Xenopus tropicalis: one gene and its partner. The protein of the gene in region 1 purifies or fractionates together with the protein of each later gene. This does not show direct contact. Links are inferred from orthologs where the notes say so. Each region holds a gene or a part of one and is shown on either strand. Other genes may lie near its edges.

What was found.
Region 2: the proteins of nxf1 (region 1) and rangap1 purify together in Homo sapiens (co-immunoprecipitation; 3 studies listed by BioGRID and IntAct, with this or other methods). This does not show direct contact. The link is inferred for Xenopus tropicalis from reciprocal best matches to the Homo sapiens genes NXF1 and RANGAP1.

The regions. Positions count from the first base shown.
Region 1 is NC_030680.2:36,527,048-36,535,852, forward strand, and holds the start of nxf1 (nuclear RNA export factor 1), read right to left. Parts: upstream 5,355-8,805; 5' UTR 5,325-5,354; coding exon 5,297-5,324; intron 4,883-5,296; exon of another isoform or gene 4,868-4,882; coding exon of another isoform or gene 4,819-4,867; intron 2,462-4,818; exon of another isoform or gene 2,365-2,461; intron 1-2,364.
Region 2 is NC_030680.2:121,799,714-121,806,517, forward strand, and holds the end of rangap1 (ran GTPase-activating protein 1), read right to left. Parts: intron 6,731-6,804; coding exon 6,646-6,730; intron 6,275-6,645; coding exon 6,106-6,274; intron 4,649-6,105; coding exon 4,529-4,648; intron 3,884-4,528; coding exon 3,781-3,883; intron 3,693-3,780; coding exon 3,604-3,692; intron 3,438-3,603; coding exon 3,316-3,437; intron 1,795-3,315; coding exon 1,725-1,794; 3' UTR 310-1,724; downstream 1-309. UniProt on the Homo sapiens protein: GTPase activator for RAN. Converts cytoplasmic GTP-bound RAN to GDP-bound RAN, which is essential for RAN-mediated nuclear import and export. Mediates dissociation of cargo from nuclear export complexes containing XPO1, RAN and RANBP2 after nuclear export.

The sequences.
Region 1 (8,805 bases):
CCTGTGGCTGGGTAGATGTGCCAGAATTGTGTGCTTGTGCAGGGCCGCAGGAAGGGCAGAGCGGTTCAGCCTGGCCCTCCCTGAACTTAGCGAGACATTTAGTACATGCAAAAAAGGTAGCCACCGAGTTATGGTGCTTGCCCCCCCTAGAAAATAAATCTCCCCTGCCTTCTGCCATGCTGAGAGAGTGCTCGGCAGATGTGGCGTTACTCACGGACCGGAGCGTCTAGGTTATAGGGGAGTAGGAGAGCCTGCGGGTCTATCTGCGCACCGTTGTGTAGTTATGGCGCGAAGCTGCGTCGCTGCTCTCCTTACTGCGCGCGAGAGTCGGCTTCCGGTGAGTGTGACGTCACTTCTGGGTGCCGGCGCGTCGGGTAGCGTTACGCTATGTGGGGAGCTTACTGGCTCGTTGGCAGTGTGGCGGCAGGTCCCGAGCATGGGGGTTCGGGTCCTTGGCGCCAGCCTGCAGACCTGCCCTATAAGGGCGCTGCTGTCAGGCCTCTTGTAGCCCGGTACCCGCGGGGGGTTCGGGAAACATGGGTATCCCACGGCGGGGGCTTGCCTATATTGAACAGACTAGGTCTGACAAAGCTGCACCCCGGGTGTCAGTACTAACTACCGACCGAAGAATTCCAGTTGGGCCTTATAAGGCCAGTCCAACCTCCTGTATGAAGGACACTGAAAAAACTGGCGCCTTTCAGAGGCAGCAGGGGATAAAGGGTGAGTAGGAGGGTCTTCAGTTCTGATGTCATCAGTGTCCTGCCTCCTGATGGGAGGGACCCTTTACCCCATGGTCCCTGTGTCCCCCTAGACGTGAGAGAAATCTTGTTTATAAACCTGCAGTATAAAAACTTACCAGTGACAAAATTATAAAAGGAAAGAAATTTTCATACCCATACTGGAAAATTCCCACAGTGATTCACACCTCATTTTTACAGGGTGGTTGTTCTGGTACAGCAAGTAACCTGCTTGAAGAAAACTACTTAATGTGCCATGGTTCCCATAGGTCAGTTACTAATCATTCAGCCCACTTGATTATTTCAATCATCAATTATTGCCTTATTGCACCAGATTATTACTGCTGGAGCCTCTGAATATTTGCTAACTATACAAACTCAAGCATTTCAGATAATCAATTTTATAATTTAGCTTTAATAAACATATAACACTGAAAACAGGCTTGTGGTAACTGAACTGAATTGGGCTATGTCTTTTCAAAGACAATACAAAAAGGGGAGGGATTGCTTGTAAATCAATTTTATTTTGTGGTACTACTGGTCCAAAAAAAGCAGAATTATCAGATTAGCTGCAGTGCGTCTACAGTCAATCCAAGCATTCTAGCTAAACACCCTGCTACTAAGAGTTTAGACATCATTTAAACAACTTCTATTTACAGTCATCCTCTTTTCTGCCAATTGCCATTTCTGCTAGGTGATTCACGCCAAATGCTTCTAGATCAACTGGTCTGTGCATGTAAAATTAAATAAAGCAATGAATACTAAAAATAACTGTAATGGCCGTGACAGACAGGGAGATTAGTCGCTGTGCGACTAATCTCCCCAAAATGCCATTCCACCGGCTAGAATATAAATCACCTGTGGGATGGCACACGGATTGGCGATTTGCCAAAATCGCTGAAGTTTCCTCTCAAGGCAACTTTGGCGATTTCGGCAAATCGCCAATCCGCGTATGCCATCCCAACAGCGATTTACATTCTAGCCGGTGGGATGGAATTTTGGGGAGATTAGTCGCCCGCAACAAGGGAGATTTGTCATGCGGCGACTAATCTCCCTGTCTGTCACGGCCCTTAAAAGCATAAAGAAAGGTATAACACTGCCTTTAAGAGCCACTGAATAAACAAAAGTTTCTGCAAACATAACAGACTGCGGCTCTGTTTGTAAAACACAATGGCAATATGGCAGCTGCCACATTAACTCTCAAATGAGTTAATACACGATATTACAATGTAGAGTGTATTCATTCCTGCAGAGAGGGGCAGTCAAGGTGCCCACTGCATGTGTAAGCACTGCACAGTGCTCACAGTAAATTTCACCAAAGCAGCTTATTTAGGGAGTTATACAGGGCATATTTACTTTAGTGTCCCTGTACTAACTCAAGGCCACTATTTTGTATTTTTCCTGTGATTTAGTAGCCTTCTGAAGTCTAATGAGTATTAACAGGATGTCTGAGGTAAGCAATGACACAAGGGCTATGTATTAAAAAGTATGTGGGGTCCAGAGCTGTGCGATGAATATATATGCTCTATATTCGGGGTGCTAGGGGCAGCTCTGAAGGGAACAAGTCACATCGGCTCATCTATTCATATACAATTGTGTTCGAGTTATCAAGGTTAGTGATACTCACAAGCAAAGCAGGTAAATGTGTGTTATAGCCATAGTCTATCGCTGTGCAATTCTTTGATTTAGGTCAGAGACTGTTAAACCTGTTTAGGGTGGATCACTCCAATAACCCTGAATATAGAGAGATTAACTCTTACTATAGGATAGCATCATTTCAACAAAGTACATAACCAATTTTTGGGTTGTAAAGGTAATTTACCAACTTAGTTTATGCCCCTTGGGAAAAATTGCTTTAGCATTTCATTCTTTAACATTTCACAATCTAACTTTGCAGAGCAGTCTATTGTAACAGTAATCATTTCTACCCATTAAAGGACATGTCAACCCCAAAAATATTTTCTTGCCTAACAAAACATAAGTCCAAGCAAATTGCAATATACATTAAGTACAAATTTGGAATGTCTTTTACATTATTTGTATATATAATTGCTCTTTTCTACTTTCTACCCTGGTGGCTCCTGACTTTTGAAACAATGTTACACAAGAGCAGATTGGTATACCTGTCTTGCTGGAGGAGTCTTTGCAAGAATTAAGCAAACGCCGCTTTAAATAGTAACTACATTTACAAATAACCTTTAACCCTTTAACTGCTAACGACGTACGGCGTTGCAGTAAATGGCTTTATCTGCCAACGACGTGCGCCGTACGTCGTTTGGCAGATAAAGATACTTCTATGCCACTTCTGCAGAGAGCTTTTAGCGATGACAGCCCCCTGGGCAACGAGCCAGGGGGGCTGTCATGTCGGCCCTGCGACGCGATCGCATCACGTCTGCTGCTTGTTTCCACTTCCTGCACCCCCACCCCCAGCGCCGGCCCACTGACTTCAAGCGACATGGAGGACAGGACTGCAGGACCAGGCAAGCTTCAAGACAGGTAAGGGTGATTTTTTTTTTTTGCATTTACACACACTTACACACAATTTTGCAGTTTATTTTTGTTTTGCACACATATACACTTATATACACATTTACACACTGTCACACAACTTTTACACATGTACACACATGTATACACAAACACTTTTTTTTTTACCACTTTGTTTTTAGTTTCTTTTCCTTAAAAACTGTTTATTATAACAGCGTGACTATTAGATAAGATATTCTGACCACTAATTATGCTGTTGTGTGACTTATTTTGTTGTTTCACTAATTTGCACAATTTTTGTGGTTTTATTGCATTTTTATCCCTGTATTAGTATTCTTGATCTGTTTTTAGCATAGCTTTGCCACGTGTAACTTTGGTGTAGAAAAATAACTTTAAATTCATCAGAATGTGTACTCTCCAAAAATATATAGTTTTCTGGGGGTGCCTGTATAGTAAGGGGGGTTACGGCACATAATACGCTGTCAGGGGGCTCTGTGTAAAAGCTGAGTTGGCAGGTGAGAAATCCATATACGTTATTTTCATTTTGGGGTCAGTACACACCACAGACTTTGGTATAACTATGCATATTGGGCATCAAACTGTTCAGTAGACCTTGGGTGTTCCTATTTGTGGTGATTTGCCTTTGTATGCAAGAAATTGTGTGAGATAAATGTGGCAAATTGCAAGATTTTTAGGCAATTTTATGAAATGTCATTAAAAATCGGCAAACAGGAAAGCTTTGCGGCTAGGTACTTTGGAGTAAAAAGAAATGTGTACCCATTAGAGATTCGGGGCAATGTGTACTTTCCAAAAATATACGACTTTCTGGGGTGAGTGTACTTTTTTGTAGCATTATCCCACATAAAGGATGTAAATATGTTGATTTTGCAGGAGCTGAAATGACAGATCATATGGGGGTATGTTCCCATCAGGGCCCCTACACTACACTACAAGTGACAATATGAACTACTATTGAACTGTAAATTTAGGTTCCATATGCAACATAAGAGGATAATAGAGAAAACAATTACAGTAAAAAGCTTCTCTTAATATACGGATATCAACTTGAGTATTGATAACATGTATTTTAGATTTCCTTGGATTTGTGTGTCTCTCTTCCCATAAAGTTCAAGGGGACATGTTTGAGGTTCAGCTGGCAAATATGGGGGGGCGACAATTAACCTCCTCTGTAATATATAATATATACCATGTCTGTAATATGTCTCATTTATGTCTGTGTAGTGTTTCCATTTCCTTGCTCAGCTAGGTTGCACAGAAATCAGTGTCTCATATCTCGCAATTGCAACCCACCTCTTGCAGAACAACCAACCAAAGCTTCAACTTCTCAAGAAACAAGAAAGTACCTCTTCAAATGCCAGATCAGCGCTGCATAGAACTCAAAGAAGGCCAAACCACAATTTACTAAGAGAGGGGGCTATATTTTTCCCCTTAGCTTCTACAGATGTTGCCTTTCTCATATCTAGCTGACAAGCAGCTTTTGCAAGCAAGACACCCCACCTTCCCCCCTTCTTTCCTGAGCTTAAATACCTTTACCCTGAGATCAATCAGAAAAGAAGACGTTTTGCTACTGAACCTGTTCGTGTCAGTGTGATTTCTTCAGGTCTGGCCAGACCCTTACCCATATATCAAATTTGGACGGGGATATATATTCGTGTCCTTAACATAGGGGGCCCTTGAGAAAGCAACACGTGGGCTTCATTACACGAGGTGGGGGGCCAAAACAAAGCGACACTCGCCCACTGCCATAGGAATGTGTTAACGGGGATTATTCCGGACTCATACAGAAGCTGCTTGTTACGAATAAGCACTCAGGATACTGCCTCCCAGTTACAGGCCACATATATACTATATATTTATCATATAACACATTATCTGTTCTCTAGAAGCGAGGTCGCTAGAAAAACATGTATGGCCAACAAGGGCCCAGCTAATCGCCAGCAGCTAAACAAACGGGGCACATGTGTAGGAACCACCTCCCCCACAAACATAAATACTCTGCTCACGAATAACTAGTCCCTACTGTCAATAGTCACTCGCTTATACAATCTTACCGACATACGACCGGCCACCGTCCGCCATTTTTCAGCTCCCTCTGTCGTCAGTAGCTAGTTAACGCCACTTCCCCTTAATGCCGGCCCGCCCACTTCTTGGAAAGTATCACCGCGGCAACGGAGCTGCGAGTTCTTTTTTTTTTTTTTCAGACGTGACGTCACGGGGGGTGGGGCAAAGTGCTTCCATGGGTGTCGAACAATTTGTAAAACCTGCCCAATTTATCTGTCTCGTATGACTGTAATGTATTAGGGAAAGAGGCCTTTGAGCCCAATGCCTAAATTGCCCTTTGATTGCAGAGCAGATTATTGTGTACTACCATTCAGCTCTAGTTTGACTTGGTGCTAGAACATTAAAAACAATATTAAAGCTGACCAGCATACTTATAGACAGACAAGAAATTTAGGGAAATCTGGGAACCTTGGTATATATATTTCTTCCCAACTCCAAAGTTTTGCTATAGCCCCGTCCTGGGATTGCCACGTGGATTTACCGGCCTGGTCAGTAAAAATCAGGACTGTGGAGTCGGAGACGGAGTCGGCAAAAAATGAACCGACTCCGACTCCTACTAAATTTAAATGGGAATAAAAAAAAAAGTAAAGCAAGTTTAAATGTCCCAATTTACAAACAGTTATAATTAATTACTTCTCTGCTATATAAGCCCAATGCACGCGGTGCATAAACGAACACGTTAAGTGACCATGAAGCATGCTTTTCATTGACTGTATGAATGTATAAAATACATTAGCATATTAAAAACAGAGGAGTCGGAGTCGGAAGTATCAGAAACTGAGGAGTCGGAGTCGGAGAATTTATCTACCGACTCCACAGCCCTGGTAAAAATGATGCTTGATCCCATAGGGGAAAAAAATATAAATATATATGTAGGGGTTTACCAAAAATGGGCCCTTAGGACAGACACCCCTAGGACAGGCCACCGGGTGGTGCTAGTTAACAGGGACACTAGGATGACTGGGTTCTAAATAGTTAACAGGGAGTATACCTGTAGTTCGGGTTATGGCCACAGGGTGGTACATAGGCCCATATAAAGTGTTGCAGCCATGTGCTGCCAGCCATCTTAGGCCTGGGTAGTAGAGCTACCAGTCCCCAGTTAATAGATAGTAGTTCAAGTAATAGGACATTCTAGGAGTGTCATGTAGGACACCAAGTTAGAATGGGCGGATATTGCCCCTCCAGGAGTGGTAGTGGGATTAAGATCCCCCAGTATTACATCTGCTGGAGTGCAGGGCACTAAGTGGCTAGGTAGGTGGATCAAGTCACCGCTAGTCCAGGAGGCCGGATCTGAGGGTGCCTAGCGAGAGTACCGGTGTGTGGGTCCCTGTGGTGTAACGTCCTAGCGTGAGTACCGGGAGAACTCTAGGATGGAGTGTCTCTGCCGAGAGTACCGAGGGGAGCACTGCTGAAAGTACCGTGGGGTAGTCCAACAGGAAAAGGTTCTCAATAAGAAGTAAGGAGATATGCCCTGCAATGTGTATAAATGATATGCCACTCCTGGAGAGGTGTCTGCCTGAATAAACCTTTACATCTATTTCACATATACAGTACTACTGTGTCGGAATATCTATCAAGCCCAGAGGACCACTACCAAGCTGGTAAGGAACGACCCCAGGGTGGGGTACATTACACCAGGAGTACGGGGGTCCCAAGAGGGGCATAGCATCCTATTCGTTTCCCAGGGGGTGGATTACAGTTCCACAAGACTATCCCTGGGTGGAGGCACGCCATTAAAGGGAGAAATCCCTGTAAACCCCCATAGTAAGCGGGGGCTCAGGACTCCTGTAGCGCCAAAGTAAAACAGCAGGTAGTGCCACAAGCGTTTAAAAAGTGGGCTACATATAGGCTGGTATTTTTCTCACAACCCTAGCCAGACCCTATGGAATTATCAATACTGATAGGATTGTTGCACTCTCCCACAGCTGCTAGCCATTAGAATATCTTATTTCCCTATATTAAAGGGACCTCATGGGAATCTCAGTCTGTATTCATTGCAGCTTTAAGGTGCCCATACACGGGCCGACTATAGCTGCCGATTCGGCAGCTAATCGGCCCATGTATGGGCAGAACAGGGCTGCCTGGCCGACCGATATCTGGCCTAAAATTGGCCAGATCTCGATCGGCCAGGTTAGAAAATCCGGTCGGATCGGGGACCGCATCGGCTCGTTGATGCGGTCCCCGAACCGACTGCCCCATAAGCTCAAATGTAATCCGACTGTTTGGCCCCAGGGCCAAACGATCGGATTATTTTTTTTTAAAGCAGCTTGCTACCCGATATCGCCCACCCGTAGGTGGGGATATCGGGTGAAGATCTGCTCGCTTGGCGACATCGCCAAGCGAGCGGATCTTATAGTGTATGGGCACCTTTACACTGCTGTTACTTGGAACCTTTGATTTAACTTTTGTTTACGTTATACTTTCCTCTTTCTTAGGCCCTATTACCTTTCCTTTCTTCTCTTTATTTTCTCACAGACTCCAGGTATTTATAAAGTCACTGTTATTTCCTATTGTCTATTGTTAAAAAAGCAAATAAGATAATACATGATTTTCTAGCACACCATTGCATAATGGCCTTAGTAATGCAAACTCTTGGGTAGCAGACCTCCATGCTCCTCTTCAAACCCAGTAGAACAGAATGATAATCTAGAATGGTGTAGTTATTATAGCAGAGAAGGTCCTGATCTTCCAGCACTAAGGTCTGTGAGACATGTAAGACTTCTAAACCCAGCTCACTTGGCCATCTGAAGAGTACCACAAACCACTGCCTGAGGCTCATATTCACTTAAGCAGGAGGTGGTTCAAACTGCCATTGCAAAACCTTACGAGCAGGAAATTGCAGTAGTGAATGAGGCCTCAGCACAGTAATAGGTTTTTGATGGGGTTTTTTTTTGAGCCAAAATGTACCAGGTTGAGCAGTGACACGTGTGCAGCCAAAGGAGGGCCTGTGCCTTGTTTTTTGTCTACCCACTGTATGAGCCAAAACATTAGACAAACATTTATTAATCCGGTAATAAACAGCCTGTCTCACCCCCGTGCCTCTCTTTCTCTGCTCCAGAGGATTATAAGGAGCTAATCCCAGTTTTAATACCAAAGCTCCTTGGTATATCCCTTCATTAGCAATGCAGGCCATTTTCCCACAATGTGAAAGACTGTTCAAACTAAATTCAACTTATAGACCTCTTTACAATTTTAATTGTAAAATATTTAGCTCTAGTGTAGCAAAAACCTTATGGTTATTTTATTTTAAGCATGCAAAAAAGTAATAGAAAGTTAGTATTCATATCAGGCCATTAATTATCTGCCCATTATACATTTAAATATATTTCTTTATAATTAATATTATTAATATAATTGAAACTGAACATTCGGCTCATATAGTGCAGGGAGTGCAATTGCACTAACTACATTAGCGATGCAGCCCCCACCTGGACCCCCTCCAGCACTGTAAATCTAAACACAGCGGGAGTGGCATCGCAAAAGCTGTCACAGGTCTAAA
Region 2 (6,804 bases), about 85 Mb from region 1:
GTTTATTTACCCAGTTTGATTTTTAAACTGAATTGTTCCATTAAGAACCCAATGAAATCAGATATCAGAATAAGTGGACAGACCTTTCCTGCAGGCCATAGTTACTGCACAATGTGCCAAAGTTACTAATGGCCAACAAACTTTTAAACACAAGCATTTAACTCCTGCAAGACAAAACAGAACAAGTCATCAGTGCCTTTGAGCCATGGTGGGTTTTATTACTGTCATTTGATGATTAAGATTTCTGACAGTTACTATCCTTATTTTTTTAATATGGAGAACTACTCTGCACAATGTATACAATTTTTTTTTTTTTTTTTTTTTAAGTGGTGTTTGAGGTAAGTGAGCAAGTCTATACACACACCCAAGCTAAATCGTTTTATCAAGGAGAGCCATGATATGATGTGAATATCCATTCTGGAATAGGCCTTATAGATATCCATGATGGCTCCTGGAAGTGAAGCAACAGTCGCCCTGAAGCTGTAGGGTCTTTGCTTGAGAAGCAATACAAATTATTTACAAAGGAAATCACTGGGGACATTTTGCGTCTTAAAAAAAAACAAAAAAAAAAAAAACTCCAACACTCTTGCCAGCAGTGTTGGTATAGAGAGGAAATCTTTAATAACTGATTATAAAAAGCAGAGCAAGCCGCCCCCACGTGTAGATGCAATCAGCTGGCGGAAGCACGGTAGGATGCTGTTTGATGACAGATACCCAAAGGCTTACACTCTTTTTCTACTCAGCCATTAAAGGACATTAATGCTACATATTTTTTTTTTCCTTTTGCACAATTGCTCCCAAATCTACTCTAAAAGCTATAAAGACTAAAACAATTTCAAATGTCCATTGAGTAGGCACCAAAGAGGACTACATAGAAAACTATACAGGAACAGCAGCAATACCTTACAGCCATCAGGGTACTGGCACATTAGGTATGAATGGCATCTGCAAGGCCTATGGTACATTCTTCCTGTAGAACAATTGCAGACTAAGGAGTGAGCGTAATTAAATCACTGAATGCAATTCTATTGTGCCAAGTAATAACTGCACAAGTATTTCCAAAACACAAGTATCTGCTCCAGGTAATTTAAATAAAACATGAATATGATTTGCAGTGTATACAAATGTAAGAGTAATCTGTTACCCTTTGAGTACTATGCATGATAGTTCCCTTAGCTTAAAGCCAAGCTCTGCCAGACAAACAGGCTAAAGTTATGGCAGGAACAGGAGTAGACTGTTTCAGGAATTACAAGGGCTAAATATGCACCCGATATGCATTACAGCTTCTCTCGTTAAGGAAGGAATACAGTGTATACATGTACAATCGCTTATGATAAAGATACAGTACTTTTACTGTCCCTAAACTCAATTTACAAAGTATTATCCAATAATTTGGCATTAAACACAGATGCGCCACTCAATGAGAATATGAGAACTGTCCAATGATGTAACATTATTCAGTTACACAACACTCAATGAACCTATAAAAAATGCTCATCTGGAGTCCAAATCTGGGCCTCTGGATCATCAAGGTATTGAGAGGTGAACAGTTCTTTTCAAATGTAAACAAAAAGACTGGAATGGGGCCCCTTGTAGGTAAGACCAGAAGGAACTTATTCCCCAGCAATATGCCTAATAAACCCTTGCTCATATATAACCTGCTATGAAGAGCTTTTATGTTTTGTGGGCTGGGTAAAGTTTAGTCCAAGTTGAAGCAAAGCAGGTTACAGATTATGAAGGTTGTGCAGCAATGTGTGTCTGGCACTGGCGTTATTTTCCAGGACACGGTTGGGCCTGAAATGACAAGGAGAGAGATCAAATTATTCGTAAAGTAAAGCAATCGACTGTTCTGTTAATATTTGTTAGAGAACGTTCATTACATTTGGTTAGATGTGTTTTGTAAAAGGCTCAGGGCAGTATAGAATATACCCTGTATATATTATATAAATATTGGCACTTAAGATGTATATTAGCACCAAGTAACCACAAGCACTCATAGCTGTATATTAACAGTACCTTAAAGTCTAAGGAACAGGAACTGGGAGCATATAAACACAGACATTTCTCTCACTGCATACATATCCAAGAAATGGAAAACATCATATATAAAGGGTTATAATATTTTGTCTTGGGTAAGGTTATAATATTGTATTGAAGTCCCACAAAGCTGAGCTGAGCAGACCTATATTAACATATATCAAGGATAAACAGGCGTGATTCTTACACCCCGAGTACAAAACACGTGTAGCGTTATTGGGGCCACAGTAGACATAATTGTCAGCGCTTGATTTTTTACTGAACACTGCAAACAGTAGTAGCAGGTGGAATTTATGGACAGTGCATTCATCTGGTCCGGAGAGTTCAGTTATGAAGTCTGTGTAGTGTCCATGTAGTGTGTAACAATGACAGCCATAATGTCCATAATTCCCCTTTTGCAAAAAAGCCAATCAACTCAAGAACAACAATACTGTAAACTGGGTATTTTATAGAAAAGTGGGGGAGGCCAACTTTGTTTCAGTCAACTATTAAAAATTAATATTCACTAGACTTACATAATATGAGGGCACTCCCTCTCCTGCATCATTGGCACATCTTTGATACCACTGGCTGGCTCAATCAGAAATGTAAATGAAGCAGGAGAGGGAAGGCATGAGTAGCAAGTTCAGTGGTGCCAACTTCCTGTTATGGAAGAATGCAAGTTCGTGTTGGCGATCCCTTCCAAAGAGAGCATAGAGCAAAGCACAGACAGTTTTAGCGGCACTGATTCTGGTCTGTAGCTTCAAAACTAAACATTCTAAATAATAAAGATGAATTACAGGGGCTCCTCAAATTCAGACTATGCTGAACATCCCCTTTAAGTGGTCCATATATCTAGGACTAGGGCTGCTCTGCCTGCCTGTATCCTGATCTTAAGGACATATTGTTTTCAATCTTACTAACATACTCTAAAGCAGGGCTCCCCAACTCCTTTTACCTGTGAGCCAAACTCTGTATAAAATGTATGGAAGCCACACAAACATTAAAAAATTTCCAGGGTGTTGCCAAATAAATCCTGCAATTGGATGTTTGGTAGCCCATGTAGACTGAGTAAACTAGTGTCTTTAAACCTGGAATTTTAACATTAACACCAGATTTGAGGCCACAAAAAGCAAAGTCAAAAGGAATGGCAAGCAACATGTTGCACGTAAGGGAAATGCTGTGAATCACTGCTCTAAAGCATTGTAACTCATGCCTCTGGGTAACTGAAGTAGCTACCAAGCTGAAATACATGAAGGAATGAGAAAAAAAATTAAATAATGTGTTTTATGTACTTACTTTGAGATGAAAGCCAGAAGTATAGGAACAAGAGATTTTGGGAAGTAATTCTGTTGTACCATGTGATTCAGAGTTAGCAAGGGGCCATTTAAGTGCTGTACCGTTTTAATTTTGTCTTCACTCTGAGCATGAGGAAAGACAAGAAATAAAAAATATATATTAAACATAAAATACAAATACACAGGTCACACTGGCAAATAGACCGTGTCCCCTTCTACTCTAAAGGGGAAGGCTAATTAACAAGACCAGACTAATAATTAACACCACACAAAAATATTCATACAATACCTTGAGAAGTCCCATATGCACCAATAGACTAGTGATAAACAGATTTTCTTGGAAACCTCGGCTTTCAAAAGCCTTCTTCATTAGACCATCTAGAACAGTTAAGAGAGACCGTTAGAATATGCTTACACAGGTCGGAGCACAAAGGAGACAAAAGAAATGGCAGTAACTAGCACACACCAATAGTTTCTTCAACAGCCGCCTTTACTTCACTGTCATCCCTGTACACAGAGGAGACCTGGATGAACGTTTGGACCACCTTTTCCGTATCTGCAACATCGATCTAAAGATAAGGGAGATAACACAATTACAAAGAAGTTGTGAAAAAGAAAGAAGTTATGCCAGCATTCTAGTTTGTATTTGTTTAGCAAAATTATAGTTAACCTACAATTAGAAGTGCGGTAAACTCTAAATGGTCATCTTTATTCTATATGTGCTTGGTAATATGAGTGGATACAGGAAATGACAGGATCCTTGGATTTACCAAATAATTTATTTTGAATTAAACACGTCTCAGGCACAACAAGCAGCTCAAGACATTGATGAATCTCTCATGAGTAAGCACGGTACTATGGCTTCAATAGAGTGCCAGTTACAAGTGTTGGGCACGCTGCTGAAAGGATGGTAGAGATTCGTGCTTTACAATACAATAATACAACAGTATAAGCCCTAGGCATCCAGTCTAATGCTCAACCTATGGATAATGCACATTTGGCATTATAATTAACTCATTGACAACAAAGCATATATATTGAGCTAGGGGGTATGGGAATTGATGTTGTATGCTTATGATAAATAATGAATACATTGTTGCTGACCAGGAGGAAATAAAGAATGCGTGGATGGTTGAATTGAACATGGCATGAACATTTCTTCTTCTTGATATTCTGATAACCAATTAACCATATTGGATAATGAAAACACCAACCTGCTGCATTATCATTGTAGAACGTTTAGGACCCATGCGCACAAGCTTCTCAGGAGAGGGAAAGCTAAGAAAGGTGGATGCATCAACTGGAAGTTTAGGTGGAGCGGCTGGTGTGGATACCTTTAAAAAAAAAAAAAAAACACGGTAGATAATCTATAAATTTTAAGATTCACACCTATTCCTGAAAGCACTTACAGGTAACTGCCAACATAAAAGAACTAAAACTTGATACAAAGTATAGGTAACTGCCACAGCAAAGGGATGTTTGTTGCCTACTGCTACAACTACAATTCTCCCACCAAGAGGAAGTCATAAGAAGCATTCCCTAAGGCTAAATGGCAAATGAGGGCAGAAGGCAAAGCATAAAAATACTCCCTACGGCATGGAATGATAGTTGTGGTAGATACATACAAGGCTGATCATAGTGTGTGCACTAACTTCACAACAACCCAGTGCAAATTAAAAGAGGACCATCATGATACTGTGCAATCTTACTCAGTGTCAAGGTAAAGTCAGCCATGGGTTTAGAAAAGAAAAATAAGTTACACAAGCCTAGAGCCCTGTTCTTAAGCTTGGATCCCCAGATGATGATGTACTACAATTCACAGAAGCCAAACTAATATCAAGGTAAAAGCATGTTTGGAGCTGTAGTGCAGCTACATCAGGGCACCCAAGATTATGAAACATGGCCTTGAGAACTTGCATGTATACCTAAAGTAACAAAAAGTAAATATGGTGTGCAGCACTAACTTCTCTGTTGTGCATTGAGACCAATTAATATTGCCCAATGTTAAAAGAAATGTGGTGCCAAATGATCAAATTAGCCCTATATCGCCCACCCGTAGGTGTGACCTTGCCAAACAAGTGGATCTTACAGTGTATGCCCACCTTAAATTTAAAGGGGTGCTGCAGACTTCAGGTAACTGAAGTTCCCCAATCTGAAGCTAAAACATTGCACAAAACAAGAGAAACTGCAACTAAAAGAAAATATAGGGGTGGAATCTTTAACCTATAATAAAACAAAATTCCTTGTTAGCCTATCGAAACATCATATGGAAAACATTTAACACTTAGGGACAGATTTATCAAAATGTGAGTTTAGAACTGTGAATAGAACTCACCCACTTCTATTTATTCCTATGGGATTTTAAGAAGTGTATTTAACAATTGGTGAATTAAAATTTTCACCCACTGATAAATACACTTCTAAAAATTCCATAGGAATAAATAGAGTGTGGGTCAGTTTTTAATTTAATTTTTAGTATTAATCTCTAAACTTATATTTTTATACATCTGCCCCTTAATGTGGAACAGGATTATTTTACAAATGTAATCTGAATAGGCAGCCATAGATAGGTATTTGTCGCCTACAGTATGGCGTGAATTTCCACAGGTGACAAAATGCCCCATGTGCCAGCGCTTGTAAAGATCTATTGTCAAGGCAGCCAAACAGCTACAAAACATTAATAGTGGTCTGCAGTGTTTAGCTGCACTGAATCCTTCCTAAAGGATGCTCATCCCTGCACAGACACCTTCAAGCATGCCCGCAATTATGCTGTAGACACTTTCATACTTACATGTGATGAAATTTTATTAGGCTTTGTTCTGTTTTCATTATCATCTACATCTTCCTCCTCTTCCTCCTCCTCCACGTCCTCTTCATCATCTTCATCATCGTCGTCGTCATCATCGTCGTCATCATCATCTACTTCATCTTCATCCTCATCTTCATCCCCCTCATCATCACTACAGCAAAGTAAAGATGTTATACAAATGCTAGACCAATTTTTTTTATACCCATGCTTATTTTAAAGAGATGAAATTATCCCGATGGGACAAAACTTCCCATGTAAATATTTATACAATAAATTAGATCTTTGCAGTTTTCTGTACTTAGGGTATCACAATTCCATAGACTACCATGTTTTAAAACACAGAAAAACTGTCATATATTGCTTTCCATTGCAAGCATTGCAAGGGACCTTAATTATGACTACACTAGATATATTTATCTATCCATACATACATACACACACACACACACACACACACACACACAATACCTCAGTAGAGAAGGTAGTTGAGGTTGAGAAGCATATATATGCAGCATACTATACCTTAAAGAGCCTAATATGTTAGCCATGCTAATGCCTTCCAGGATTTCCTGCACCTGCTCACAGCCCCCCTCACCAAGACAATTTCCTGCAATAAAAACCAAAGAGTAGCTTATTAAATCAAATTCTTACAACCCACATATATGATGTAGCTATACACAC